7 linked regions of the Sus scrofa genome follow. The protein of the gene in region 1 purifies or fractionates together with the protein of each later gene. This does not show direct contact. Links are inferred from orthologs where the notes say so. Each region holds a gene or a part of one and is shown in the gene's direction. Other genes may lie near its edges. The genes, in order: STX7, VAMP3, PTTG1IP, NAPG, VAMP8, SNAP23 and SNAP29.

Region 1 (3,500 bases):
ACTGTCTCCTCCAGAGACCATAAGTTTTTCAGTGTCTGTGAGTCAGCATCTGTTCTGCAAAGAAGTTCAGTCTATCCTTTTTTCAAATTCCACATGTCAGTGAAAGCATTTGATGTTGGTGTCTCATTGTATGGCTGACTTCACTTAGCATGATAGTTTCTAGGTCCATCCATGTTGCTAAAAATGCCGGTATTTCGTTCTTTTTAATGGCTGAGTAATATTCCATTGTGCATATGTACCACATCTTCTTGATCCACTCCTCTGTTGATAGACATTTAGGTTGTTTCCACGTTTTGGCTATTGTAAATAATGCTGCAATGAACATCGGAGTACATGTGTCTTTGCGAGTCGTGGTTTTCTCTGGCTAGCTGCCCAGGAGTGGGATTGCTGGATCAAATGGTAGTTCTAGTTTTAGTTTTCTGAGGAATCTCCATACTGTTTTCCACTGTGGTTGCAGCAATTTACAATCGCACCAACAGTGTAATAGGGTTCCTTTTTCTCCACACTCTCCCCAGCTCTTATTGTTTGCAAACTTTTTGATGATGGCCATTCTGGCTGGTGTAAGGTGGTACCTCAGAGTGGTTTTGATTTGTTTTTCTCTAATAATGAGTGATGATGAACATCTTTTCATGTGTTTTTTGGCCATCTGTTATGTCTTCTTTGGAGAATTGTCTGTTTAGATCTTCTGCCCATTTTTTGATGGGGTTGTTTGGTTTTTTTTGGTATGGAGCTGCAGAAGTTGTTTATAAATTTTGGAGACTAATCCCTTGTCAGTTGATTCACTTGCAAAGATTTTCTCCCATTCTGTGGGTTGTCTTTTCATTTTGTTTAGGGTTTCCTTTGCTGTGCAGAAACTTTGAAGTTTGAGTAGGTCCCATTGGTTTATTTTTGGTTTTTTTGTCAATACTCTAAGAGGTGGATCTGAGAAGATGTTGCTGTCGTTTATGTCAGAGAGTGTTTGGCCTATGGTTTAAGAGTTTTATGGTGTCTGGTCTCATATCTAGGTCTTTAATCCATTTTGAGTTTATTTTTGTGTGTGGTGTTAGGGAGTGTTCTAATTTCATTCTTTTCCATGTGGCTGTTCAGTTTTCCCAGCACCACTTATTGAACAAGTTGTCCTTTCTCCATTGTATATTCTTGCCTCCTTTGTCATAGATTAGTTGACTGTAGGTGCGTGGGTTTAATTCTGGGCTTTCTGTCCTCTTCCACTGATGTATATGTCTGTCTTTGTGCCAATACCATACAGTTTTGATGATTGTTGCTTTGTAGTATAGTCTGAAGTCCAGGAACCTGATTCCTCCAACTCCATTTTTCTGTTTCGGGATGTCTTTGGCTATTCTGGGTCTTTTGTGCTTCCAAACTTTAAAATATTTTTTTCGAGTTCTTTGAAAAATGTCCTTGGTAATTTGATAGGGATTGCATTGACTCTGTATATTGCCTTAGGTAGTATAGTCATTTTGATAATATTAACTCTTCCAAGAGCATGGTATGTCTTTCCATCTATTTGTGTCATCTTTGATTTCTTTCATCAGTATCTTATAGTTTTCAGAGTACAGGTCTTTTGTCCCTTTAGGTAGGTTTACTCCTAGGTATTTGATTCTTTTGGATGTGATAGTAAACAAGATGGTGTCCCTAATTTCTTTTTCTGCTCTTTCATTGTTAGTGTATAGAAATGCCATCGATTTCTGTGTATTAATTTTGTATCCTGCGACTTTGCCAGATTCGTGGATGAGCTCTAACAGTTTTCTGGTAGAGTCTTTGGGATTCTCTAGGTATAGTATCATGTCATCTGCAAATAGTGATAGTTTTACTTCTTCCTTTCCAATTTGGATTCCTTTTATTTCTTTTACTTCTCTGATGCTCTGGCTAGGACTTCCAAAACTTTGTTGAAGAGTAGTGGCGAGAGTGGACATCCTTGTCTTGTTCCTGATCTCAGAGGGAATTCTTTCAGCTTTTCACTGTTGAGAAGGATGTTTGCCATGGGTTTGTCATATATGGCCTTTATCATGTTGAGGTAGGTTCCCGCTATGCCCACTTTCTGAAGGGTTTTTATCAGAAATGGGTGTTGGATTTTGTCAAAGCCTTTTTCCGTGTCTATCGAGAGGATCATATGGTTTTTATTCTTCGGTTTGTTAGTGTGGTGTATCACACTGATGGATTTGCGGATATTGAAGAACCCTTGCATCCCTGGGATAAATCCCACTTGATCATGATGTATAATCTTTTTAATGTACTGTTGGATGCGGTTTGCTAGGATTTTGTTGAGGATTTTTGCATCAATGTTCATCAGTGAAATAGGCCTGTAGTTTTCTTTTTTTGAGGTATCTTTGTCTGGTTTTGGTATCAGGATGATGGTGGCCTCATAGAATGAGTTTGGGAGTATCCCTTCCTCTGCAATGTTTTGAAATAGTTTCAGAAGGATAGGTGTTAGCTCTTCTCTAAATGTTTGATAGAATTTGCCTGTGAAGCCATCTGGTCCTGGACTTTTGTTTGTTGGAAGTTTTTTAATCACAGTTTCAATTTCAGTTCTTGTGATTGGTCCATTCATCTTTTCTATTTCATCTTGGTTTAGTCTTGAAAGTTTAGTCTGAAAATTAAATTTTCAGAATTAAATAAAGAGCCAACAACTTTTGCACATGCTGTAGAATTTCACAGCTTGATTCTATCAGGTGTTTTTTGTTTTTTGTTTTTTTTTTTAAATCCCCCTTTCCTCTAGCGTCAAAGGAAAATACAGAAAGACCGCTTAGTGGCTGAATTCACAACGTCACTGACAAACTTTCAGAAGGTGCAGAGGCAAGCTGCTGAGAAAGAGAAAGAATTTGTTGCTCGAGTAAGAGCCAGTTCCAGAGTTTCTGTAAGTATTTAAAATGGCATTGTAAAAAGGAACACAGTATTCTCTAAAATATCTTAAGAGACTACATGGGTGTTTCTTGAGTCATAAAGACCTGTGAAAGTCTTAGAGATCAGTATTGAAATATTTAATTTCAGGTGTTTCTGCTTAATTTTTAAGAAGTATGATAATGGTGTATTACTCTGGTTATTCTGTGTCAAACAAAAGATTACAGATTATGTAAAAATAAACATTTTGTCAGAAAAGATTAGGGGTCTGATCCTAATTTGAACATGAGGCTGTTACTTCGTGTTCATGCTGGTGTAGAGAAGTCTTTCCTCCTAGGTTATGTGAAGATGATGGACGTGAACAGAGTGAATATACATATAATTATTGAAAATATATACCTGGAGAAAATAAATGAAAGGATAAGTTAGAGTGGAATTCTAACTTAATCTAATTATATATCTCCCCTGGAAACTATCACGAGTATATTGTTCCTTAATATAGAGGTTCCAAGACTACTTTACATTTTAATCGAATAATAATTATTATTTAGCACTTGAGAATATTTAATGAATTCTTTGCTTATCAGGTTATGATATAATTTTGTTATTACCTAAAGTAATTGACCTACAATATTAGAACAAGAACTCCCTTGTAGATGTAA
Region 2 (3,980 bases), on another chromosome or scaffold:
TGGTGGACCCTCTTCCTTCTGATCCATCCCGGGGCTACTGCTGGACAAGTTCTGGGTGACAGATCTGCCGCAATCCATGAGACTTCAACGGTTTCGAGAGCCCACTGTGTTTACATGCCATTCTCCTTGCTTGTTAGTCTTTACCTTTTATTCAATCTTATTTTCACCTGTGCCCTAACCTGCACCAGTCCCACCACCACCCGCACCTCCTCGGTCTGTTCAAACCAGGTCCATCTTGAGTTTCTTTGTCTATGAAAGGTTGTTCCTCCCATGCCTGGAAACTCTCCTTTTTGCCACTTGATCCAACTCAAATCTCACCTCCTCTGTCTTGCTTTCTTGTCTATTTTTATTTGTTCATGTAGTGATTTAAAATTTTTTCATTATAGCCTAGTTTACAGTGTTCTGTCAATTTTCTACTGTATTTCCTAATTTTTTTATATAGTGAACTCTCCTGTTTATTTTAATATACATCAATATTTCTTTTTCCAATTATCCCATTTAGGGTTGCAACAGACAGTTTGGTGTTTATTTTTTCATTTCTCATCGAATCTGCCGGTTGACCTCCCGGTGTTCTGTGGTGTTTGTTTAGTGTAGGAGTTGCCTGTGGTGGTAGGAATAATGTCAGGAGCAATTTAATACCTTGCAGAGTAACTCACTGAATTGGTGCCTGGGCCTCAACCCAAATCAAAAGCTGGGGACCTACTCCCTACTGGGGGGGTCCAGAAATACAGAACCATACAAAGCCCAGTTACTGATGTGAAGGCTCCTGTAAACGGGTTATAATAAGCTCTGTGCAATGACAAATATTTGTGTCACAAATGACTACACGAAGAGAGGGACCCTAGGCCCAATCAATGCCTCTGACGAATACCCTGAAGGAGCTTCAGGTCTTATTTTAAAAGTTTCCTGGGGAAATGCGGTGTCTCTAGCATCACTGGGTAAGACGCAACGTTAAGCAGAAGCCCATGGGCTGTCACTGATACCGTCACGGCCACAGGAATGACCCACGGGCCCAGAATAACGTAAAGCGCCCCCACCCCCGACCACCCACACAGTCCCTTTCCCGGGACTAAGGCTCCGGGCCCCCAGGGTCAGGGCGGCCGGCCGTGGGGGGAGGGAGCGGAACCGCCCTCCGGGCCCGCCCCCGAGGCGCCCCGCCCCTTCCGGCGCGCCCCTCGCCGCCGCGCACGCCCCGTCCACCCCGTCAGCCCCTCCCTTTGACGTCATCGGCCCCGCGCCGCCGCCACCGCCGCCTGCGCCTGGCCCCGCCCAGGTTCCCCGCCTCAGGTCCCGCTGCGCCTCTTCGTCGATTCTCGCCCGCTGTCGCCGCCGCCGAAATGTGAGTGACACAAGGCGACACGGAGCGACCTCGGGCCCTGGGGGCGGCGGCCAGTGGCTGGGACCCCGGCCCGGCTCGGCCTGGCTCCCTTCTGCAGCGTCTCGGACGCGGGCCGAGGCTTCGCGGGGGCTCCCGAGGCCTGGGGGTGGGCGGCGGGCGGCCCCGGGGATACGAGCTGCAGACGGGCCGGGTCGGCCCTGGGCGTTGCCTGCCGCCCCGGAGGGCCCTGCGGCGGTCGCGCGGCCGCGGAAGGGGCGAGGGCGGGGCGGCCGGTGTTTCCCAGCGGAGGGGAAAGCCCTTCCCCGTCCCATTTTCTCCTCCCCTCCCTCCGCCCCTCCCCGTCCCATTTTCTCCTCCTTCCCGTTCCAAGTTGACTGAGGGGAGCTGTGGCCACTGCCCTCGTCCTGGAGACCTGCTCGCTATCGGGTTGGGTTGGGCTCCGGAAGTTGCAAGGGAGGGGCCTTCAGCCCTGTCTTGAGGCACTTGCGGTCAGAGTGGGTCAGAGTGGACTCGGGCGCATAGCCGTAGGCCTTCTCTCTTTTTTTTTTAAGCCGAAGCATTCTTGTTGTGACCCTTGAAAGCGGGGAGTTTCCGGTGGTAACATCCAGGGAACTCTTAAGTGTCAAAAATCACAGGGAGCCCCTGTCCCCACTCCAGCCTGCTCAGTGCTCACCCCAGAGGAGAAAGGAATGGGTGCTTTCCTAGGGTTCCTAACGGAGCAAGAGACACCACTCCGGAGTGTATGTACCTCCTTGAAGCTGCCGTGCCGGCTCTCGGTGTGTGAAGTCCAGATCTGTAGAATTATGCAGAACCTAATCTAAACACAGGCGCCACTGCAGCCAGTGGTGTCAACTTTCTAAAGCTATTCATCTATAAAATGAGGTTAACAATAGTGTTCCCTCAAAGAGTTTTGGGGATTAAATGAGAAGATGCACCAACACATGGCCCTTTGCTGTTATCTCTCAGACAATAAACTCTCTGAGGGCAAGGGTGGGATCTCCTTTATCATTGGTCTTTGACACATGATAGATATGAAATAACTGTTGAATCAATGAATCAGTGGCTGTTATATGCAAGATAAGTGCTCTAGGTGCTGTCTGGGATACTGGAAGAGACGTGTAAGACACAGGAGTCGGTGATCTGTTAGAGAGGGCAAGACTCTATTAATACATGAAAAATCAAAGCATTGCCAACCAAGTAATGGAAGCAATTAGGACTTCCTAGCCTGCGTGGTCGTGAAAGGTCTGCCTGGGGAAAAATAAAGCTTTCAATGAGGGTTTAAAAGAGGCACCTTTTTGGAGTTCCTGTTGTGGCTCAGCACTTAGCTAACCCAAATAGCATCCATGAAGACACGGGTTCGATCCCTGGCTTCACTCCGTGGGTTAAGGATCTGGCGTTGCCACGAGCTGTGGTGTAGGTCGAAGACGAGGCTCAAATTCCGAGTTGCTGTGGCTGTGGTGTAGGCTGGCAGCTGTAGCTTCGATTGGACCCCTAGCCTGGAAACCTCCATGTGCTGCGGGTGTGGCCCTAAAAGGCAAACATACAAAAAAAAAAAAAAAGTACCTATTTAGCGAAGAAGAAGCGTGGCTTCGTCTTACCTTTTCCACTCCCAGTGCCTTCTACTCGGCATCTGGGTCTTCCCAACTCTGTTTCTCTAAGTGAATCTATTTCCTCATACTGGAAAAGGGCATTTTATGATTGTTTATACAATTCTTTGCCACAGCGAAAAGATCAGAAGATTGCTGAGTGCATTTAAGTAGACTTATACCTTCAAACAAGTCATAAAAAATGGGAAAATAGGAGTTCCCTTCGGGGCTCAGCGGTTAATGAACTTGACTAGGATCCATGAGGATGTGGGTTCAATCCCTGGCCTCGCTCAGTGGGTTAAAGATCCCACGTTGGCACAAGCTGTGGTGTAGGTTGCAGACGCAGCTCGGATCCCCAGTTGCAGTGGCTGTGGTGTAGTCCGGCAGCTGTGGCTCCGATTCCACCACTAGCCTGGGAACCTCCATAAGCTGCAGGGCGCAGCCCTAAAAAAAGGCAAAAAAATAGGGAAAATAGAGTTTACTTATCTTAGGATCAGGTGCTTTTGTGATACAAAGTAGATCCTGTTAAATCTCATTTCAGACCTTGATCACTTTTAACATGTGGGTGAATCTCTGAAATTATAGAGAAACTAGAAGAAATGGCATTAGAACCTTTGTTCATTACTGCAGGAAGGATTTCCTTTTTCCGCTTTAGTGCTGAAATTCCCAACACTGAGTGTCCTGGAGTGCACCTTCACACTTGGAGAAGTGTGTTTGGAATCCTCATTTACCCATGCTTGTGCCTTTACCTCAGGTCGACAGGTGCGCCTGCAGGTTCCAGCGCTGCCGCTGGCAGCAACAGAAGACTTCAGCAGACACAAAATCAAGTGGACGAGGTATTGCTTTCCAATGTTGTTGCATTTTAAGCCAAGATGGGAAGGCTTTGGAAATAATTCTGTTTAGAAAAAGTATCATAAAAGTGTAAATGTAAAGTAAATTTCGACTCTCACAAGTGTAACAAAAAAGTGCCCCTGGTTTTGAAAACCCTTATCTAAGCTCCTGAGAAGTCACGCTCTCCTGGTTTCAAGCTTGTTTTCCTGCCGCTGAATCACACA
Region 3 (3,934 bases), on another chromosome or scaffold:
GCTCTGCGGGATGGACTGGGGACGTCTCGGCCACTGGTTTGCCTTTATAAATCCTCAGGAGAAACTTGTTTGAAGAGTGTTTGGTCGGGACAGGAGGTCACAAGGTCGTCTGGTGGCTGCAGCCCGTGCTCTGCCCGTGGTGGGAGGGGTGTCCCGTGGGCGGTGGGTGGAGGGCTCCGGGCTCTGACGCCGTCATCCCGCGGGACCGCGTCTCTGTGGCTCCCGTCTGAGCTCGCCGCTGCTCCTCCCTCTGGGTTTGTGGACTTTGCTCGGGCCGGTCAGGCCTGTGCGGGATGCGGGGGGGCGGCAGCTGCCGCTGCCTCGGCGCAGGGCGGCTGGTGGGAGCCGGGATCGGTCCCGGGGGCGGGGGGCAGGGCCGTGGTGACCCCGCTGCCCCCCGCAGTGAACTTCGAGGCCTTGATCATCACCCTGTCGGTGCTCGGGGGCTCCGTGCTCCTGGGCGTCGCCATCTGCTGCTGCTGCTGCTGCTGCCCGAGGAAGCGGAGCCGCAGGCCCGACCGGAGCGAGGAGAAGGCGGAGCGGGAGCGCGAGGAGCGGCGGGTCCGGCAGGAGGAGCGGTGAGGCCCGGAAGACGGGGCGGGGATCCTGTGGGTTCAGGGCTGTGCCTACCAGGCCTCTGAGTGCCCGTCCAGCTCTGAGCCCGCAGAGGCACAGAGGGAGGAGGGCGTCGCTGTGGCCTCTTGTCCGTGAGGCCGAACTGGCCTCTTGTGTTGCCAGCACTGTGACAACACATGTCCTGCCAGCCGCCCCCTGGAGCGTGTGTGTGGAGTGGCCGGGAGGCCGCTGGGGCCGGGGCCTTGCTGGTCCTTGCCGTCTTCCGAACCAAGCGCAGGTCTTTGCTGATGGGTTAGTTTTCTTTAAAGGAAATCAGTGTGGGGGCATGAGAGCTGCTTCTATTGAAACGAACCGGGTGAGGTGATGGAGCAGCCCGGTCTGCCGGGCCCCCTGCCCGTCCAGTGGGAGTGTGGCCCTGGCCGGCCGGCCCCATCCAGCTCTGGCTCCGGGAGGCGGGAGTGAACCCCCGGCCCCGCCGCCCAAAGTGAAAGGTCCCGCTGGTAAAATCGTGCTGCCCTTTGGTGCTGAGCGAGCGCCCTCTGTGTTGTAGGAGAGCAGAGATGAAGTCAAGACACGATGAGATCAGAAGAAAATACGGTAAGAGTCCGCGGGCTCTCCTTTCCGCCGGGGGCACGGGAGGCCGGCCGCAGGTGCGTGACGGAGCGCTGCCTTTACCTGCCTTTACCTCCCAGCCAGCCTCCGGGCACCTGCTGCGAGGGGACGCCGCACTCCACCCTGGGCTCTGTAGGAACAGGGGGTCCGGTGCCCCTGGTCCCCGGGCGGAGGCGGGCGGGGGCGGGGGGTGAAGGGTGGTCTCTGCGCCTGCTCCGCGCACCCGGCTCTCTCTCGGCCGCATCTGAATTGTCCCGAGGTGCGGGCTGGTTCCCGTCGGCCGCGCGCGTTTGTCATCAGCCCCTTTGGTTTGCAGGTTTGTTTAAAGAAGACAATCCGTACGCCAGATTCGAAAACAACTAGAGGCGCGTCATGCGAGGCAGCGTCTCCTCGCCTGGCCCGGGGCTGCGGGTCAGCAGCGGCCACGGCCTCGTCCGCCTCGGCCCTGGGGCGGCCCGTGGGAAGCTGCCCCCCAGGTGCAGGCCTGTGAGCTTTGTCCTCTTTTTTCCTGTTTCTGTCTTTGTCCCTTGAGACATTAAGCCTGTCAGGGCCTTTGGTTGTGTTGTCATTAATCTGAGGAAACCGCACGTTCCTGCCCCTCCCCAGTCTACCTGGGAGCCGGTGCCGACCGCGCCCTGTGTCCCGGGCCTGGTGGGTGCGGCTCCACATGCCGGAAGGCAGTGCGTTTTCAGTCTGTTGTGGGACCCCCGACCAGCCAGCCCTTGTCATTTCCCCGACGAGCCGAGCCGGCTCTCCATTGCCCGCCGTGTCCCGGGCGCCGTCTGCTGAGGGTTCCCGTCCATCTGCACCAGCTGGCACCAAGCAGTCGCTAAAACTCCCCTTTTTAGGTGCGGCCCTAGAAAGACAAAAAAGAGGTTTCACCCGAAGCCTTCCTTTGGAAGCGTAGGCCACCTGGGGGCTGGCTTTTCAATCAGCATCTGGACTGGCACACGAGGCGTTTCTTCCTGGGAAAATCTGAATGTGGACCCTCTGGCCAGCAGTCACCCCGTGCAGGGGCGGGGACACTTGAGAAGCTTTACCTGCACCCTTCTCTGCCCCACTGACCGCAGGCCTGGGGCCCGGGCACAGTCTCTCCCGAGTCCCAGACCCTCCCTGCCTGTCCTCAGTGCTCACCTGGGCACCGCGTGCGACGGTAGGTCCTCCGGGAAGGGACTGTGTCCTGGGCTCTCCCCGGGGGACCCTGTGAGCCAGGGTGCTGAGGGCTGGGCGGCGGTGCAGAGATGCTGCTGGTTGTCCTGCTGACCAGACCACCCGGCCCCCGGCCAGCTCCGTGGATCTCCTTCGGGCGGCCTCATCTGCGGTGGCCCCGAGGTGCCAGACGCGGCAGTCGTCCCTCCAGTGAAGACATGTGACTGCCGTCCGTGGTCTGCGCGCTTCCAGGCAGGTTCGCAGACAATGAAGTGACTGGTTCCTCCTTGAAATCTGAACACAGTTCTAGTTGCCACATTGCTTTGACTTAGAGGAAACCGAGCTTTGGGACGGCAGGTGAGCGGCTGCATGAAAGGACTCAGGCAGAGCCAGCGACCAAACACACCAGCGCACGGCCCGCCAGGCCTTGTCCGCACGGACCCAGCGACCAAACACGCCAGCGACGGCCCGCCAGGCCTTGTCCACACGGACCCAGTGACCAAACACGCCAGCGACGGCCCGCCAGGCCTTGTCCACACGGACCCAGTGACCAAACACGCCGGCGCACGGCCCGCCAGGCCTTGTCCACGCGGACCCAGCGACCAAACACGCCGGCGTGCGGCCCGCCAGGCCTTGTCCACACCCCCTGTGTCGATCTAACCGGTTGACCCTGGCTTCTCACAGACTAAGAAGCAACCTTTAACAGACTCTTGAGTCTTATTCTTTGATTTCTTGGGCATTTGATTGCAGCAAAGTGTTAAGAGACATTCCCGTGTCCTTCGTAACAGCCTGCAGAGTTTTCCTTTCTACTCTTTGTTCATAAAAATCTTTGTAAGAGACTCGAGTCAACACCGAGTCTGGGTGTAAATCCCTCTTTGCTGCCTTGCGGCTGCCGAGCTGAGGCGAGTGGGTTGTGAGATAAAAACCCCATCCTTCCGCGCGGCACAGAGCCGGCTGCGGGCACCGCCGCTTCCCTGTGCTCTTCGACTTGCTGCCAAGAGCAGTCCAACCTGGAGCCTCCAGGAACCGCGTAACCTGAGTGCCTTCATCTGTAGCCACTTTCCAGTCAGCGGCCCAATACACGTTTTTGCTGGCTACGCTGCGTTCCTCCTCTCGTTTCTGGGTGGTGGGAGCGCTGTTGCTTGGGGAGCAGGGGTGGATGGGGCGGTCCTGACGAAGGTGGGTTTCTGGACCCCTTACTAGCCGCGGGAGCAGCCTCCCACGGAGCTCCCGCTGCTGAATGGCCCCAGGGCCGCGCGGCTTCCTGCTGCAGCGCCACCTGGCGAAAAGGTGCCTTTGAGCCTGTGCACCTTGGCTCCCCTGCTGGAAACAGGTGCCACCAGGAACGCATCCTGCCCTCTGCCCTACCTGCTTGGGGGTCTTGGTACCCGCGTGGGGAGCAGTCCCGCCCACTTCCGAGTTGCTGCTGAGTTGGGGGCGTTTTGAGGATGACCGCCCCCTGCCCCACAGCCCCGCAGTAAACCTTTCTCCAAACTCCGACGCTTCTCTTTGGCCTCACTGGGCATCAGGCACCCGGATTCTTGTTTGGTGACATGGTTGCGCTCCGTGACAAGGGGGCAGCGGGCTGGCGAGGGCG
Region 4 (4,288 bases), on another chromosome or scaffold:
ACTAGGTTTAACATTTGTGCCCCCTCACAGATCACACATTCCATGACAGCAGGCATTATGTCCCAGTGGGATTCAGAACGCACTACCCCAAAGTACGGCTCCTTGGCATACTGAAGGGGTTCAGCTGGGGGAACCTGAGAAAGAGCAGGTGCAGGCAGGTTTGATTCCTCCCTTCTCCCATGAGACCCTGTAAGGGAGGAAAAAGTTCTCCTCAACCCTCTTAGGCCCCTGGCTGGGTCTGAACATGAAAGTGACAGACAGATTAATAGGAGGAAAGACTACAGATTCACTGAACAGAAGTTTTAGGTGATGTGGGAGCCTTAATAAAGAAATTATGACTGAAGGACCAGTTAGACTGTGGATTTTCTGCTGGGTTCCATGTGCCAAGGTGCCGTATTTGGGGACAGCGTTTCCCGAACCCCATATACCCTATGTGAGAGATGAGCTACCTGTACCTGGAGGACAGGAACACTCTGAAGACAGAGGTGCTGAAGGTGGTGAGAACAAAGGCCTTGCTAGTTTCCACAGGTCACTGTGCTGGGCTCCTGCCCTTGTCCCATCGTGTTTTCCCAGGACTTTCCAGCCTTTAGCACAGCAAGCATAAAAACACAGGAGTAACCACTTTTGCGGGTCTTCATTTCCTTATAAAGGCTCTCGTGTCGCACAAAACCTCTGTTAAATAAATGTGTGCTTTTCCCCCTGTTCCTCCATCTTGCCCAGTCTAGTTTACAGAGTCACACCTAGAGGGCCCAAGATGGTCCAGGAAGAGATTTCGCCCTTGGATGACTGGTCCAGTGAAATGCAGTTCAGGAACTTAGCTGCACCAGGGCCTCCTTGACATGTATGAGCACAGATTCCAGGGACGGGTCACGTTAGCATGTTGCTGCTTTGTTTTTCTCCAACCACTTTCAATTGCTCAGAGCAGTTCCAGTCCGTAGAGAACAGGGGCTTTTCCATACAAGGAGAAAGGAAGAGGGCCAGGGAGGCTGATGCACACGCAGAAGAGTAGTTACAATGATGGAACATGGAGCTTATAATGGGTAAACAGGGAGGTGTGAACAGGAGCAGAGGCCAGGAAGAGGTGGGAGTTCTGCTGAAGGTGAAAAATTATCAGAGCTAGAAGACAGCAAGAAATAAAGTGTCTGCTTGAAAGTGATGCGTCGGGGGCACAGTCACTAGTAATTAGTTACCCATGACTGGTAAGGTCGAGGGTGTGATCCTGGGGATGAGAGTATGAGCTAGTTGGGTGGAGACCAAGGAGCTGCAATGCTATCGCAGAATCACCTTGCAGGTGTTGAAACCCCACGAAATGTGAGTCGGACACGGAGTTACTGTTATTTCTGCCAGACCCTTGCTGGCGAACCTCGCTCCCGAACGTCACGGAGTGCTCACTTCTGAGCATCTGTCAGGGGTTACCTGACGGTGACCGACAGGCGGTAGGGGCGCACATGTAGTAAAAAATAAACGAGTCTATGCGGTCACGGATCGCAGTGCCAATGCGCTTTCAAGGGAGCGGGAAGCGAGATCCACGAGGGCCGGACTCGGTCTCTCGTTCTCCCTGGCGACCTGCCGGCACTAGGACAGTGTCTGACGCATAGTAGGTGTTCGACAAACCGGTGCTTGACGAACGAATGAATGAGAGAACCTCCCTCACTACCCACCACTGCTGCGCATGGAGACAAGCTAGCGGCCAGCTCGGGCGCTCTGCGCCTGCGCGGCGTTTCCTGCGCGGCTCCCGGGCCGCTTCGCCGCACTTGGTTTGAGCCCTGCAGGCCCCGGTGGAGCGGCAGCGGCGCCGTCCCGGCCTCCTCCTCGGCGTTCCCACGCCCACTCGGCGGGCTCTCGGCCTCCACGTCAGGGCCGCACCGCGGAGATGGCGGCGCAGAAGATAAACGAGGGACTGGAGCACCTCGCCAAAGCAGAGAAATAGTGAGTGAGAGGCCCAGCGCGGCCCAGGCCGGACGCCGGGGCCGGGCCCCTCCGAGAGCTGTCCGAGTTAGCATCGCGCGGGGGGCGCAGGGGCGGGCGAGCGGGGCTTGGGGGGGTGGGCGCTGGCCCGGAAGCGCTACCGTCGACCCGGAAGTTGTCGCGGCTCGGGTGATGGGGGCAGTGGGGGCTCTTTGGTACCCCGGAGCCCGGCAGTCTGGGGGCTCCCCCCACCTAGGCCGGTAGCCCCTCTTTTTCCTCAGTTAAGGTGTCCCCTGGTCCCTTGGAAGCTGGCAGAGTCGTAAGCAGGTCGTCACTAACTGAAGTTTAGAATTAAAGATGATGTTCATTGGGCAATTTGTAAGCACACCTAAGCTTGACAGTCACTAAACTGTAAGCCTGAAATTATTCTGAAATTAAAGTATTGCAGAAAGGGCAGGTTAGATAAGGATTCAATCGGATTGTACTTTGGTGTGGCGTTTGAGATGCCAAGTAATCCTGGAATCCTGGAAAGCAGCTTCTGTCTTCCAGTCGTCCTCGTCTTTCAGGTGGTCCTTCCTGTCCCCTGGTGGCTCATTGGAGTCTTTCTTGCTGACTCCCTCTGTCTCCCTGAGTGTCTTTTCTGTAGTCTTTCTGGCCTTTCTCTGCAGTCTTCCTGGCTTTTCTCTGCAGTCTTCCTAGAGAAACTTATGGGGCCCTTGGTGTGGCATCTGCTGATGACTCCTCGGTCATTCTCTGGCCTCTCCTGTGCTGCAGTCTCACAGGTCCCACTGCTTACTTATGTGCTTCAGCCCTTCTCAAGCTTTAATACTTCTCAGGGCTTTTTACACCCTGGATTGCCGCCGCTATTCCAGAGTGTCTGGTTCGGTAGAGCTGGGGCTCGCTCAGTGACTTACACTTTCTTGTACGCTGCCAGGTGGTGCTGCTCCTGCTAGTCTGGGGACCGTGCAGGAAGACCCTCCACTCTACTTGGACAGACATTTCAAAAGGGGGACAACTGTGTCTGTGACAATGGGAGGGGAAGGTAGTGAGGTTGTATGTGATTATCAGTAAGTTTCAATGGAGCTGAGTGAGATGGTGACTTTGTAGGGATGGTCCCCTCCCCCCCTTTTTAATGAGCCCATCAGAGCCTTTACAAGCAAGGTTCTTAGGAATGTGATTGGCCCATGGTCCCCTGCCCCCTTTAATGACCTATAAGGTGCTTACAAGCAGGGTTCTTACTTATGAACGAACATGGTTGGTAACTTGTGTTAATTGTGTCTTCTTTTCCTTTTAGCCTGAAAACTGGTTTTTTAAAATGGAAGCCAGATTATGACAGTGCTGCTTCTGAATATGGAAAAGCAGGTATGAGTGACTGTAGCCCAGTCCTTGTGGTGTGTAATCTTGACATGGGCTGCTCACTTCATCTCGGTATAATTCTTCCTCCTAACGCATCCTGTAGCATTTTAATTGTTTAAAAGACAAAACGAAACTGCCTGAATCCTTGCACTTGTCCACTTGTTTTCAGATGTCTTGAGTGTGAGCTGCAGATTCAGTGGCCTCTGCCTCTCCTGGGATGGCAGGATGGGAGCAGGGGATGCAGCTGCGCTTTTAGCATCCTTTATATGTTCTTGAACTTCATTCAGTTCATACTATCTCTGAGAGTTTTGTCATGTTCTTCTGCTACCTGTTATTTTGAAAGATTTTTTCTATTTCTCTTTTCCTTCCTTCTGTCCTTCCTTCCTTCTGCCTCACCCACAGCATAGGGGTTGAGTCGGAGCTACATCTGCCAGCCTATGCCACAGCCACAGCAATGTTGGATCTGAGCCACGTCTGCAGCCTACATCACAGCTCATGGCAATGCTGGATCCTTAACCCACTGAGCAAGGCCAGGGATCGAACCTGCATCCTCCTGGATCCTAGTCGGGTGTGTTAACTGCCGAGCCACAAAGGGAACTCCCTGAAGATTTTTCTCATTGACTTTTTAAAACATCTTAGCCTCATTCTCAGTAGAGCTGCATGCCGTGGCTTGGCTCTTGTTCTTTTTGACCCTTCCACGGAGGTGCACCGATGAATGTTTATGAAGTGTTACATTATAGGCATATATTAATATGTTTATATGCATGTAAGATAAAAATGATCTGGAATTTGCAACCAAAAGAGAATTATTAAAAACTTAGCATTTTAAGTTATGGGAGATAGCTTTCAGCATATCCGTGATTATTTGGGTATAAAGCATAATACAGTTTTGAAACACCCTGAACACATTTTACTGTGTTTCAGCAGTAGCCTTGATCACATTTGTTAGCCTCGCATTTAGTGTTAGTATGTCACCAAGAAAAAAGAAATCAGGTAAGATGACACTAATCAGCAATAACAGCAT
Region 5 (4,217 bases), on another chromosome or scaffold:
TTAACATATAAAATTACTGAGATTTACAGGTATTCTCTCATAATAAGTCTTTGAAATCTGTGGGGGTTTTTTGTTTGTTTTGTTTTTAGGGCCACATTCATGGCATATGGAGGTTCCCAGCCTAGGGGTCTAATTGGAATACAGCTGCCAGTCTGTGCCACGGACACAGCAATGCGGGATCCGAGCCGCATCTGCAACCTATACCACAGCTAACGGTAATGCCGGATCCTTAATCCACTGAGCAAGGCCAGGGATTGAACCCGCAACCTCATGGTTCCTAGTTGGATTTGTTTCCATTGCACCACAAAGGGAACACCTGAAATCCGTGTGTGTGTTTCATTTACTCTTAAATCTCATCAGAGTTCAGACTAGCCACATTTCAAATGTTGAACAGCCACTTGTGGTCCAAGGCTACTGTACTAGACAGCAGCAAGTACAGATCAAAGGTTCTGACCTCCCTCTTCTTGGCCACATTGTAGCCTTTCTAAGGATGCTGAGGAGTCCAGGAGCCACATTCTCTGAAAGCAGGCTGTTACTATGCACCAAATTTCAGAGCTGCAGAAGATAATAATCTTATCTAATTGGAAGAAGGTTTCATTATAAATTAAAATTAAGGGTCTCAAAATGCTCCAGAGGTCCAAAATGTATGAGACTCTTTAAAAAAGCATTTGTCAGAGAAACTAACATTTCCCTCTTGGAACTGTTACCTCTTCTGGGATGGGACAGGAATGTTTGTTCCCTTCTGCACGTCCCTGTTATTGTTCTTCTGTCTTGATAAACACCATCCAGGAAGAGTGGATTTTCTCTGGCCTGGAGCCAGGTTGGTGGAAAAATCCTTTGCCCTGGGCCCCTTTTCCTGCTCCATAGGGCAGTCGTCTGACTGTTTCTGACAGGGCTCACCAACCCACATGGTGGCTCCTGAAGAGACGTACATGCAGGACTGTTGAACTCTGGAAGGAAAGGGGGGTTGGTGAGCCATCATTTCCTGATTCCAGCAGTGGGCAGCCCTTGGTTCCAGACACTGTGCTAGGCACATGCTATGTTCTATCCTTTTATTCCTCACCACCACCCTCTGAGGTCAGCGTCAGCACCTGCAAAACCCAGACAGGCAGAGGTTCACTCAGGGTCTGCAGCCTTCTGACACCAGAGCCCAGAATCCCAGCATTCCAGACTCTGGGGGTTTTAGTGCTTTCTACACTAAAACAGACTTGGGAGCAAGGTCTGTCCAGAAAGTGTTCATCTCTGCATCCTGTTCCCATGCGAACAAGGTGCTGAAAGTTGAGTTCAATCTCCAAGAATTGAGGGTCAGATATTCAGGACTTTAGAAAAAGAAGCGGGACTTCCCGCTGTGGTGCAATAGGATTGGCAGCGTCTCTGCAGCTCCAGGACGCAGGTTTGATCCCCAGCTCAGCACAGTGGGTTAAGGATCCAGCGTTGCCGCAGGCTGCTTTGGTCGGCTGGGAATTCCATGTGCCGTGAGGCGGCCAAAAAAAGCGGGAGGGGGAGGAGATGGCTGCCCTTTCTACGTCAGTAAACCTAGGAGGGCTGCCTGATCTTTTTTTCCCTGGTTCCTGATACGTGAGAAGAATTGTGGTGCCAGGGAGCCCTGTGGCTTTAAGCCTAAGCCCTGGCAGGGGAGGAGACTGGGAGGGCTGTGGAGGGTGCCCGCCTACCTGGGGAACCTGCGCGAGGTGTGGCCGGAGCGGCTCGGGATGCGAGGTGGGCGGGGGCGGGCTGAAAGTTGGACAAGCAGGAAGTGAACCGACGGCCGCCCGGGAGGAAACCGATTTAGGCGAGTTCTGCTGCCGCCAGGCCCCAGCCGCTCGGAGACATGGTGAGAGAGCTGGAGACTAAGAAGGGGCTGATTTCAAGCCCAGCCAGAGGGTTCGAGGGGGAGGGCTGGGGATCAGCAAAGGAAAGTTAGTGGCAAAGTCCAGAGGGCCGAGCCAGCGCTGTGGCCTGTCTTCTTTGACAGTTCGTCTGCAAATAGTTCGGAGCTGCCTTGGGCGGGTGTTCCTGCTCCTTCTTCGCTCCCTCCCTCCCCTGACCCCGGAGCCGGCCGGGAGGGGGGCTCCGGTGGGGGTGGGGGAGTCCTAATTCTTCTCCTTCTCCAGCCGGCGGGCCCGCGGGTGTTGTGACATTCCTGGGCAGCGCCTCTGCTGTTCCCGTCGCAGGTTCCAGCCCAGCGGCGGAATCCCCCTTGCCTTTCTCTCTATTCTTGTACAGAAACGCAAAGAATGTGTCTCTCCCCTGAATCCAAGGAATCTAGCTCATCTCCATTAACGTGAGGAAGAGAGCTAAGGGTTTGAAAGTCAGAAGTGGGTTTTCTGTGAGTGTCTCGTTTGGACCCACACCAGAAGTCTAGTGGGTCAGGGAGGGAGTTTCTCCCTCCCTGTTCAAAAACCTTATCATAAAGCCTGGGGATGAGGCATCAGGCCAGGAAGAACTTGCCCTCCATTTCCCCCAACGCCCAGGCTGCTGTTTTTATTTTATACTTGCTTAAGCAGGCAGTGGCGTGGTGCCGGCTCATGACGCTAAATGGTGGGGAAAGCAGAAGTTTGTGGCCCAACGGCTCTCTGGTGGGGCCTTGTGAGGGACTTGTAGCCTGGTGGCTGTTGTTCTGGGTCACAGCCATCAGGCTGCCCAGGAGGTCCGGAGAGAGAGGGAGAGTTGAGCTGGGTGAGGGTGGTCTGCGGGCTGGCACAGGCATTTTTACTGAGGACCCTATGGGATTTGAGAGTTGGTGAGGAGCAGTGGGGCTGTGCACTGTGAAATGCCAGCTCAGCTGTCTCCTGGAACCCTCTTTGAGGAAAAGAAGCAGTGGAGAGGGGTTTGGTAGTGGTATTTGTCATGCACCCTGAGAACCCACAAAGAGGTTTGATTCAATGTCTCCTAGCATGGCTCTTTACCATCTGGGGCTTAAACATGTAGGTTTTTTTCACTGTGCCCTATGGCATGTGGAAGTTCCCAGGCCAAGGATCAAACCCAAGCCTCAGCTGTAACCAGAGCCACAGCAGTGGTAACACCAGATCCTTAACTTCCTGAGCCACTGGGGAACTCCAGATGCTTTATTTTATTTTATTTTTTTGTCTTTTTGCCTGTTCTAGGGCCACTCCCGCGGCATATGGAGGTTCCCAGGCTAGGGGTCTCGTTGGAGCCGTAGCCGCCGTCCTACACCACAGCCACAGCAATGCAGGATCTGAGCCATGTCTGCAACCTACACCACAGCTCACAGCAACGCCAGATCCTTAACCCACTGAGCAAGGCCAGGGACTGAACCTGCAACCCCATGGCTCCTAGTTGGATTCGTTAACCACCGTGCCACAACGGGAACTCCAAAATCCTGTTTTTTTTTAAATCTTTTTATTTTAGGGCTGCACCCTTGGCATATGGAAGTTTGCAGGCTAGGGGTCATATCAGACCTATAGCCGCTGGCCTACACCACAGCCACAGCAACAGCAACGTGGGATCCAAGCCAAGTCTGTGACCTACACCACCACAGCAATGCTGGATCCTTAACCCACTGAGCAAGGCCAGGGATCGAACCTGCCACCTCATGGATGCTAGTCAGATTTGTTTCTGCTGAGCCACAATGACGGGAACTCCTGCATTTGTTTTTTTATTACATGCATACTTAGCAGAAAACCTTCTCTTTGTAAATAGTTCAAGCATTACAAAAGCTTAAGTCCATCTTAGGCCTCCCCCTCCTCTGGCCTCTGAGGCTGAGTCTCAGTCCCTCCACCACTTGGCTTAATTAACCGTTTTGTTGCTGCCCAGGAGGAGGCCAGTGGCGGTGGAGGGGATGACCGCGTGCGGAACCTGCGGAGTGAAGTGGAGGGAGTCAAGAATATTATGACCCAGAATGTGGAGCGGATCCTGGCCCGGGGAGAAAACTTGGACCATCTCCGCAACAAGACAGAGGATCTGGAAGCCACAGTGAGACAATGGGGAGCCTACTGGGGGCCAGAGGAAGAGGGGGAAGGAAGATTCTTGGGGGTTTGGGGATTGGCTGTCTTGGTGGCAGATGTTCAGGAGGGCAGTCTGCCTTTTCACCTGCATTGGGAATTGATGGGAGCAGATTCCCCACTTCTGATTCTGCTCTACTCCACTGATTGGTGCTGGGGTCCAGGGAATGGGTTCAAGGACTGGGGCTGGGGTGCATGGAGAGGGTGGAGGTGGGTGCGGACCCATGGAGGCATTTCCTGAGACAAATGGAT
Region 6 (4,010 bases), about 98 Mb from region 1:
CCTACACCATAGCTCACTGCAATGCCAGATCCTTAACCCACTGAGGAAGGCCAGGGATCGAACCTGCAACCTCATGGTTCCTAGTCGGATTCTTTAACCACTGAGCCACGTTGGGAACTCCTGCTTAAGATCTTTTGATATTCTCAGTGATCATGGTAAAGTGAAAAAATGCAAGATCTTCTAAGATCTAACTTTTTTAAAAAATTGTAGTATGATTGATTTACAATGTTATGTTAGTTTCATGAGTACAGCACAGTGATTCAGATATATATATTACAAAATGTTGGGTATCATTCCCTGTGTTATACAGTAGGTCCTTATTAGTTATCTATTTCACATGTAGTAGTATCATTGCCAACTTTTTTTTTTAACAGCTGCATCTGTGGCATATGAAAATTCCCAAGCCAGGGGTTGAATAGGAGCTGAAGCTGCAGCCTGCAGCTCCAGATTCCTGGGGCATCTGTGAAGCTGCAGCAAGATGGGAGGATCCTTAACCCACTGAGCCAGGCCAAAGATTGAAACTGCATCCTCACAGAGACAACTGTTAAGTCCTTAACCCACTGAGTCACAGCAGAAACTACATCATTGCCAACTTTTAAAAACCCTTTCTCCCCTTCACCGGAAGGCGGCGCGCTTTAAGCCTCTCAAGTAGGATGAACTGCAAGGAATTTCCAGAAGGTGTTATGTTGTTCTTGGCACACTCTGTTCTCACAGTCTGGAAACTCCTATCTCCTTCCATTCCAAATTTCCGGGGGAACTCCTACTTAGCCTTCACGATTCAAAAGTCACTTCCTCCGGGAACTCTTCCAGATACCCTAAGAATAAAGCGCTTTGTTCACTGTGCCCCAACGGCGCCTCGGATTTTTCATATTCCAAGCACTATATTCTGTCCACTACAATTTGTTTACATATCTATGTCCCAGTCTAGGCAAAGGTCGGGGAGGCATTCTATTCGTTTTCTCTTCCTCAACATTCATCTCGTACATTGCCTGGTACACGGTTTGCCCTCGGTAAATGTTTATTGCATAAACACTTTCCATCTTGGGCGGGACCCGAATTGTCGGGTTAACCGGTGAGTCCCCAGACTCTTCGCCTGCGTGGCAGGGAGATTTAAACCGCCCCCCCGCCCCCACACCAGGGTGATTGGCTCCAGCTGCAGGGGTGTGTCCGCGCCCGCCGCGCCGGAGGAGCGCGCAGGCGCGCAGGTTCGGCGCGCGCAGGCGCAAGAAGAGAGCAGTTGGAGAGTCCGGCCTGCGGGTGTCCGATCTGCTGCGGCCGGAGAGGAGTGGCCGGAACTGCTTGGTGAGTCTCCAGGAGTGGGATTGAGGGAGCTGGCTGCCGTGAAGATTGGGTTCATAATCCCAAGGAGAAAGTGTATATCGTGACAGTTGAAAAACTGGTGGGGTCGGGCTTGAGGGGAGGAGGGGGCGCTCTGGCCCGAACTGAGCCGGTCCGGCCGGGCTCGAAGACGCGAGGCTCCTGGAGACTCTCTAGGGGTCAGAGGAGGAAGGGTGGAGGGATGTTGGTTCTCCGGACTTTCCTTGAAACCTAGCAGAGGTAAACTCCCACTCCCTGACTTCTCACCCTCGCAGTTGTCGGGATTAATAGACTTTATGGTGGCCACAGTGATCAGATTAATTTTCAACTACCTGTATGAAAAAGGTTTCTGAGATTCATGGCATTGGAGAGTCCATGCTCTCTAGGAAAGTCTGTACTTGGCTCGCGGCTTCACTGAAGACAAACGAAGGAAAGAGTTATTAAAAGTAAAATTCCACGGAGTAAATGGTGGTGGTGGTGGGGAAGTCCTGGAAAGTGCTGTTTCACCTGGAACTTTTTTTCATCATTAGTCACCACAATGCTAGACAAGGCAGATGGGGGTCAGAGGCAACGAAAGTCGTCAAAATTGGGAAAAGAAGATGAGAAGAGAATATAAATTTTGCCTTTTGCTACTTGCCCTCTCCTTTGGGGAGGGCTGGAGGCGATTATGGATACTGGCAGCTTATGACAGTGTTGCCTTAGCTTCCTGAAAATAATGTAGCTTCTTAGTAGAAGGTATTTCAAGAATTGAGAGTGATATTATTCCATCTGCCCTGGGACCTTAAAACTGGTTTGCAGATGTTCTGGTGAAATCCTGCAGGTTTGGCCAGATGGAAATGGTTCTTCCACTTTCTTGGTTAGCCTGAAAGATACCACGCTTGAAATTCATGAGACATCTTTAGCAAGAATACTTTGACATTTAAACTTAAAATATTTCATAGTAAAATTTTAAAATATTATTTCTTCCACCAGCAAATTTGATTCCTAAGGCATCCACTAATCACCTGCCTTTCATTCCTTTGGAAAGAGGTAATGAGAAAAAAACACTTTCATATAAATATTAACAAATATTAGGAGAAAACCCTCTTCCTATATGACCATGCTCCTTTGACAGGCCATGTGAAAGTAAATTAAATGATCATGTAACTTAACCCACAACTTAGATATCAGTGTTGCTAGGGATCTTTTTCTAGGTGCTTGTGACATGTAAATATGCCCTAGAGAATTGCTATTATCTTAGTTCCAGAATAGGAATGGCTTATTGTGTCATTATGTTTTTAACAATATTACACACTCTTTCCTATAAACAGAATTTCTGAATGCTTCTTAGTATTTGTTTCTTTTACTCTAAATTAGCTTTAGTAACAAGCTCACTGAACTGAAGGTCACATCTTTTTATCATTCAGAACCCACCCTTGAACCAAAAAGAAAGCAAACAAACAAACCTAAAAACAGACCCTGTTGCTGATGGGACAGCTGTTGTTACTTCCCTTGGTATGAACCATACCACCATCATAAAAGATTTCCAAAGTAATAAATATGTTAACTACTAAGCACGTACGTATTGCTTAAATAACAACTAAAATTTCTTTTTCTTGCTTTGCGCTTTGGAAAATAGTGCTTTGGGCCTAATTGCCTCTTTTTTTTAAATAAAATGAAGATTGGATTATCTAAACTCTAAGGGCAGAAGATTCCAAAATTCTGTGAGCCTTGTGATGGCATTCATTGTTGTGACATAATTCTAACAAACCAGATGAAAGTAGATTAGAATAGCAAAAGGGAAAAAAAGGATGTTCACTCTTTGACATTTTTGTGAAATCAACTGCCTTTGTTTTGTTTTCCTCCTGTAGTTGCTATTTCTCCTTTTTTTTTTTTTTTTTTTTTTTTTGCTTTTTAGGGCCACTCAAAGTATAAGGAATTCCCAGGCTAGGGGTCAGAATGGAATCAGAGCCACAGCTGCCGGCCTATGCCACAGCCACAGCAACGCCAGATCCGAGCTATGTCTGTGAGCTACACCACAGCTCATAGCAACGCCAGATCCCTAACCCACTGAGTGAAGCCAGGGATCAAACCCACATCCTCATGGATACTAGTCAGATTCAGTTCTTCTGTGCCACAACAGGATCTCATCTATTTCTTGAACATTCTGGAAATCTGATTTTTAGCTGGATTTGTACTCTAATTATGTATATGTTAGCATTTATAATATATGATGTTACTTGCATCCAAGAGTGCTGAACTTTTCATTCCAGAACCATGTTTTGTTTCCAGTTCTGTAGATTGACGGGGAAGTAGATGACAAGGACTGGTCTTTTCTTTGTCTTGGTGAGTAGGGGTGTGGAACAGATGGATCCAGTGCCTCTAACAATTGGAGGAAGTGGATTGTGGAGCCAGGAAACAGCATCTCCTGTTCTTTTGGTAATATTGAGCATTAGAAATGGGATTCCATTTGCAGTCATTTAAAGTTCAATTGGAGTTCCTGTCGTGGCTCAGTGGTTAAAGAATCCAACTAGGACCATGGAGTTGTGGGATTGAATCCTGGCCTTGCGCAGTGGGTTAAGGATCCAGTGTTGCTGTGAGCTGTGGCGTAGGTTGTAAATGTGGCTCGGATCCCACGTTGCTGTGGCTCCAATTCAACCCCTAGCCTGGGAACCTCCATGAGCCATGGGAACGGCCCAAGAAATGGCAAAAAA
Region 7 (3,500 bases), on another chromosome or scaffold:
GACATCTTTATCTCAAAAATGGGCTCCAACAAACCCATTGCCTATAGTTTTGTTTTTAATCCTTCAAATTCCTAGGCTATGTGTGTAAAATTGCTCCTGACTTTGTTTTGGGGAGTTAGGAGAGAGCATCTAAGGATTGTTTGCATTATTAACGTAACTGAGAGCCACAGGGAAGCGGCCGAGGTCAGGGGCTGCCTCCTGAGGTTGAGGATCCGAGCCTAGGAGTCTTATGGTGGAGAGGCAGACCATGGGGTGACCAGGCTGAACGGAGTTTGCCCCAGATTTTAAAAGTATGAGCCCTGGAGTCCCTTTGTGGTACAGCAAGTTAAGGGCCCAGCATTGTCATTACTGTGGCCCAGGTCGCTGCTTTGACCCAGGTTCAATCCCTGGCCTGGGAACTTCCACATGCCACAGGTATGGTCAGAAAAAAAGCATGAGCACTGGTATGGTGCTGAGTTCACATCCACGGCCAGAAGTCTCAACTCTCAAGGAATCAGGCCAGGCTGGCCCCAGGGCCACAGAGTCCTCCAGCGTCTGTTGGGCAGGGGCAGGCTTGCAGGAGCAGCTGCTCTGAGGGGCCCTGTAGGCAACAGCCAGCAGGGCCCAAGGAGGCAGTCCAGGGATGAAAGAGGACTTCTTCACAGCAGGTGTTCCGGGAAGGCTTCTCAGAGGAAGTGTCCTCTGAGCAGAGGCTGGATCAAATGAGGAAGGAACAGAGCCATGAGGAACATTAAACACAGAGCAAGGAGGATGTGCAAAGGTCCTGTGTCAGGGTTGCCGTTGTTAGAGGTTTAAAAGCTGAAACTGGATGGGCTGGAATCAGACACTAACAGGGCCAGAAAGGACAACAGAACAAAGTTTCTGAAATACACACGAGCAGGGCCAGAGGCCCAGGTGGCCCAGCGGCACTGCTGTATCTGAGAGGGAACATCCAGGAACTACAACCCAAGTCAAAGTCCCCAGGGTCCCCATGGCTGGGAGAGGAGGGGGCTAGAGAGGATCTGCTGCCAGGCCCTGCACCTGGACCCCTCATAGGCCAGGCCAGGGGGACAGGAACCCCAGAGCAAGTAAGAGCAAGCAGTGGTGAGGCGGGAGGGAGAGACAGGGAAGGTGCACATGGGTGACCTCGTCATTCCCTCGTGCTGGCCAAGCTGCCCTGTGTCTCTGTCATGCCATCGCTCTCCCCTGCCCCCACGATAGGAGCTTGTCCGTCAGCGTGGGGCCTTGGAGCGCACAGAGAAGATGGTGGACAAAATGGAGCAGGACCTGAAGACCAGCCAGAAGCACATCAACAGCATCAAGAGTGTGTTCGGAGGGCTCGTCAACTACTTCAAGTCTAAACCTGTGGAGACCTCGCCTACACAGAACGGCACCCTTGCCCCCGAGCCCAGCAGCAGGTGGGTGGCTGCTCAGCCTACTATGAGGTAACAGAAGGTGGGCCTTCATGCAGGGCCAGGGGGCTGAGACTCAGGCCACTTCCTGGGCTTTAAGGGACCCGGTAACCCTGAGAGTCACTCACTGGGAGGAATCGGTCCTCAAATACTTGGAAATAAGAAACCTTCTCCACTGCTCCTTATTACATTGATGTCATCGCTGTCCAGTCTACAAAGGTTCCACAGATTTCTGCCCCAGTGATTGAGACTGGTAATTTGAAAGAAAGAGTTCAGCTTGGCTCACCTCACAGAATTTTTGCCTTAAAAACTCTACCTCCAGCTTTTCAATGCCTAACCCATTTTGCCCCTTGGTTATTATTTTTGAATTAGAGATTATTTTCCCCAAATGTCTTCACTAGAGATCTAATAAAGTCATACTGCAATTTTGATGGGCATGTAAATGTTAAGTGTTCAGAGATAAGAGAAATAAGTTTCTGGGAGTTCCCTAGTGGCTCAGCACGTTAAGTATCCAGTGTTGTCACTGCTGTGGTGCATGCAGGGTTGATCCCTGGCCCAGGAACTTCTACGTGCCATGGGTGTGGCCAAAAGAAAGAAGAGAGGGGAGTTCCTGTCTTGGCACAGTGGAAACAAGTCCGACTGGGAATCATGAGGTTGCAGATTCAATCCCTGGCCTCACTTAGTAGGTTAAGGATCCAGTGTTGCTGTGAGCTGTGGTATAGGTTGCAGACGTGGCTCAGATCTGGCATGTCTGTGGCTGTAACTGGCAGCTGTAGCTCTGATTCGACCCCTAGCCTAGAAACCTCCATATGCTGTGGGTGTGGGCCTAAAAAGCCAAAAAAAAAAAAAAAAAAAGAAGAAGAAGAAGAAATGTTTTTCTACTAAAACAAATGACTGCTAGTCATATCCTAGACCACTATGTCTGTTTTTTATTATAAAAATGATATTGTTGAATTACAGAAAATCTCCACCTTACCTACCATCACACAGAAACTTAAAATTTAGTTTTTTCCTGTGGTTCCCATTGTGGCTCAGTAGTAACGAACCCAAGTAATATCCATGAGGTTGTAGGTTTGATCCCTGGCCTCGCTTGGTGGGTTAAGGATCCAGTGTTGCCGTGACCTGTGGTGTAGGTTACAGATGCAGCTGCAATTCAACCTCTGGCCTAGGAACTTCCATACGCTGTGGGAGCAACCCTAGAAAGACAAAAAGAGTTTAGTTTTTCCCCCTTTTTGACGTTTTCATAATCAGAGTATTCATTTGGTTTTGTAGCTTCTTACACTTAATTAACCCAGAAAAAATATATAATGTTATACAGGTTTTGTAACTCTCTCTCTCTGTCTCCCCTTTAATTCTGAAACACAGAGGTTTGTTGTTTTTTTCTAATGCGCAGATGATGTACGGTAAAGCACATACACACTTTAGTGGAGAGCTTACAACTCTTTACCTGTGCGTACTCCTTTGTGACCACCACCCAGATCAGGACATAGGGCGGAAATTAGGGAGGGTGTGGGCTTGAAGTGCAAGCAATGCCAGTGCTCCAACACGCTGGTGCCCAGCTTGCGCAAGGCACCATGGTCCATGTTCTCTTCCAGGCCACTGGCCTATGGCAGCAAAAAGCACACCCTGTGCTCGGGTGCCTGCAAGGCCATCATGGGGCCTGTGCCCACCCACCTGGGAAGCTCAGGCAGGGCCAGTGGGGCTCCAGGGCAGGCAAGTGAAAGTGGAGGCCTTTTTTTTTTTTTTTCCTGGTTTTTTTAGAGCCACCCCTGCAGCATATGGAGGTTCCCAGACTAGGGGTTGAATCAGAGCTGTAGCTGCTGGCCTGTATCACAGCCACAGCAACATGGGATCCAATCCATGCTTTCGACTTACACCACAGCTCACGGCAACGCTGGATCCTTAACCTACTGAGCGAGGCCAGGGATCAAATTTGCATCCTCATGGATACTAGTCAGATTCGTTTCTGCTGAGCCATGAAAGGAACTCCTTTTTTTTTTTTTTTTTTCTGGAGGAGGCATTTGATTTTCTCACACAGGCACCCCAGGAAAAGACTATGCTGGCAGAGGTGGTGTTCCCTTCTAAAAGATTTCTTTCTTTTCTTGACTC

What was found.
Region 2: the proteins of STX7 (region 1) and VAMP3 purify together in Homo sapiens (affinity purification with mass spectrometry; 3 studies listed by BioGRID and IntAct, counting the BioPlex papers as one, with this or other methods). This does not show direct contact. The link is inferred for Sus scrofa from reciprocal best matches to the Homo sapiens genes STX7 and VAMP3.
Region 3: the proteins of STX7 (region 1) and PTTG1IP purify together in Homo sapiens (affinity purification with mass spectrometry; 3 studies listed by BioGRID and IntAct, counting the BioPlex papers as one, with this or other methods). This does not show direct contact. The link is inferred for Sus scrofa from reciprocal best matches to the Homo sapiens genes STX7 and PTTG1IP.
Region 4: the proteins of STX7 (region 1) and NAPG purify together in Homo sapiens (affinity purification with mass spectrometry; 3 studies listed by BioGRID and IntAct, counting the BioPlex papers as one, with this or other methods). This does not show direct contact. The link is inferred for Sus scrofa from reciprocal best matches to the Homo sapiens genes STX7 and NAPG.
Region 5: the proteins of STX7 (region 1) and VAMP8 purify together in Homo sapiens (affinity purification with mass spectrometry; 7 studies listed by BioGRID and IntAct, counting the BioPlex papers as one, with this or other methods). This does not show direct contact. The link is inferred for Sus scrofa from reciprocal best matches to the Homo sapiens genes STX7 and VAMP8.
Region 6: the proteins of STX7 (region 1) and SNAP23 purify together in Homo sapiens (affinity purification with mass spectrometry; 3 studies listed by BioGRID and IntAct, counting the BioPlex papers as one, with this or other methods). This does not show direct contact. The link is inferred for Sus scrofa from reciprocal best matches to the Homo sapiens genes STX7 and SNAP23.
Region 7: the proteins of STX7 (region 1) and SNAP29 purify together in Homo sapiens (affinity purification with mass spectrometry; 3 studies listed by BioGRID and IntAct, counting the BioPlex papers as one, with this or other methods). This does not show direct contact. The link is inferred for Sus scrofa from reciprocal best matches to the Homo sapiens genes STX7 and SNAP29.

Annotation. Positions count from the first base shown.
Region 1 is NC_010443.5:31,222,905-31,226,404, forward strand, and holds part of STX7 (syntaxin-7), read left to right. Parts: intron 1-2,716; coding exon 2,717-2,854; intron 2,855-3,500. UniProt on the Homo sapiens protein: May be involved in protein trafficking from the plasma membrane to the early endosome (EE) as well as in homotypic fusion of endocytic organelles. Mediates the endocytic trafficking from early endosomes to late endosomes and lysosomes.
Region 2 is NC_010448.4:68,472,741-68,476,720, forward strand, and holds the start of VAMP3 (vesicle-associated membrane protein 3), read left to right. Parts: upstream 1-1,180; 5' UTR 1,181-1,337; coding exon 1,338-1,339; intron 1,340-3,679; coding exon 3,680-3,761; intron 3,762-3,980. UniProt on the Homo sapiens protein: SNARE involved in vesicular transport from the late endosomes to the trans-Golgi network.
Region 3 is NC_010455.5:207,493,156-207,497,089, reverse strand, and holds the end of PTTG1IP (pituitary tumor-transforming gene 1 protein-interacting protein), read left to right. Parts: intron 1-403; coding exon 404-578; intron 579-1,126; coding exon 1,127-1,173; intron 1,174-1,504; coding exon 1,505-1,551; 3' UTR 1,552-3,434; downstream 3,435-3,934. UniProt on the Homo sapiens protein: May facilitate PTTG1 nuclear translocation.
Region 4 is NC_010448.4:97,972,175-97,976,462, reverse strand, and holds the start of NAPG (gamma-soluble NSF attachment protein), read left to right. Parts: upstream 1-1,488; 5' UTR 1,489-1,873; coding exon 1,874-1,929; intron 1,930-3,202; coding exon 3,203-3,270; intron 3,271-4,288. UniProt on the Homo sapiens protein: Required for vesicular transport between the endoplasmic reticulum and the Golgi apparatus.
Region 5 is NC_010445.4:59,190,366-59,194,582, reverse strand, and holds the start of VAMP8 (vesicle-associated membrane protein 8), read left to right. Parts: upstream 1-1,417; 5' UTR 1,418-1,831; coding exon 1,832-1,834; intron 1,835-3,777; coding exon 3,778-3,936; intron 3,937-4,217. UniProt on the Homo sapiens protein: SNAREs, soluble N-ethylmaleimide-sensitive factor-attachment protein receptors, are essential proteins for fusion of cellular membranes.
Region 6 is NC_010443.5:128,886,156-128,890,165, reverse strand, and holds the start of SNAP23 (synaptosomal-associated protein 23), read left to right. Parts: upstream 1-1,210; 5' UTR 1,211-1,302; intron 1,303-2,289; exon of another isoform or gene 2,290-2,346; intron 2,347-2,723; exon of another isoform or gene 2,724-2,874; intron 2,875-3,588; exon of another isoform or gene 3,589-3,642; intron 3,643-4,010. UniProt on the Homo sapiens protein: Essential component of the high affinity receptor for the general membrane fusion machinery and an important regulator of transport vesicle docking and fusion.
Region 7 is NC_010456.5:50,498,687-50,502,186, forward strand, and holds part of SNAP29 (synaptosomal-associated protein 29), read left to right. Parts: intron 1-1,200; coding exon 1,201-1,397; intron 1,398-3,500. UniProt on the Homo sapiens protein: SNAREs, soluble N-ethylmaleimide-sensitive factor-attachment protein receptors, are essential proteins for fusion of cellular membranes.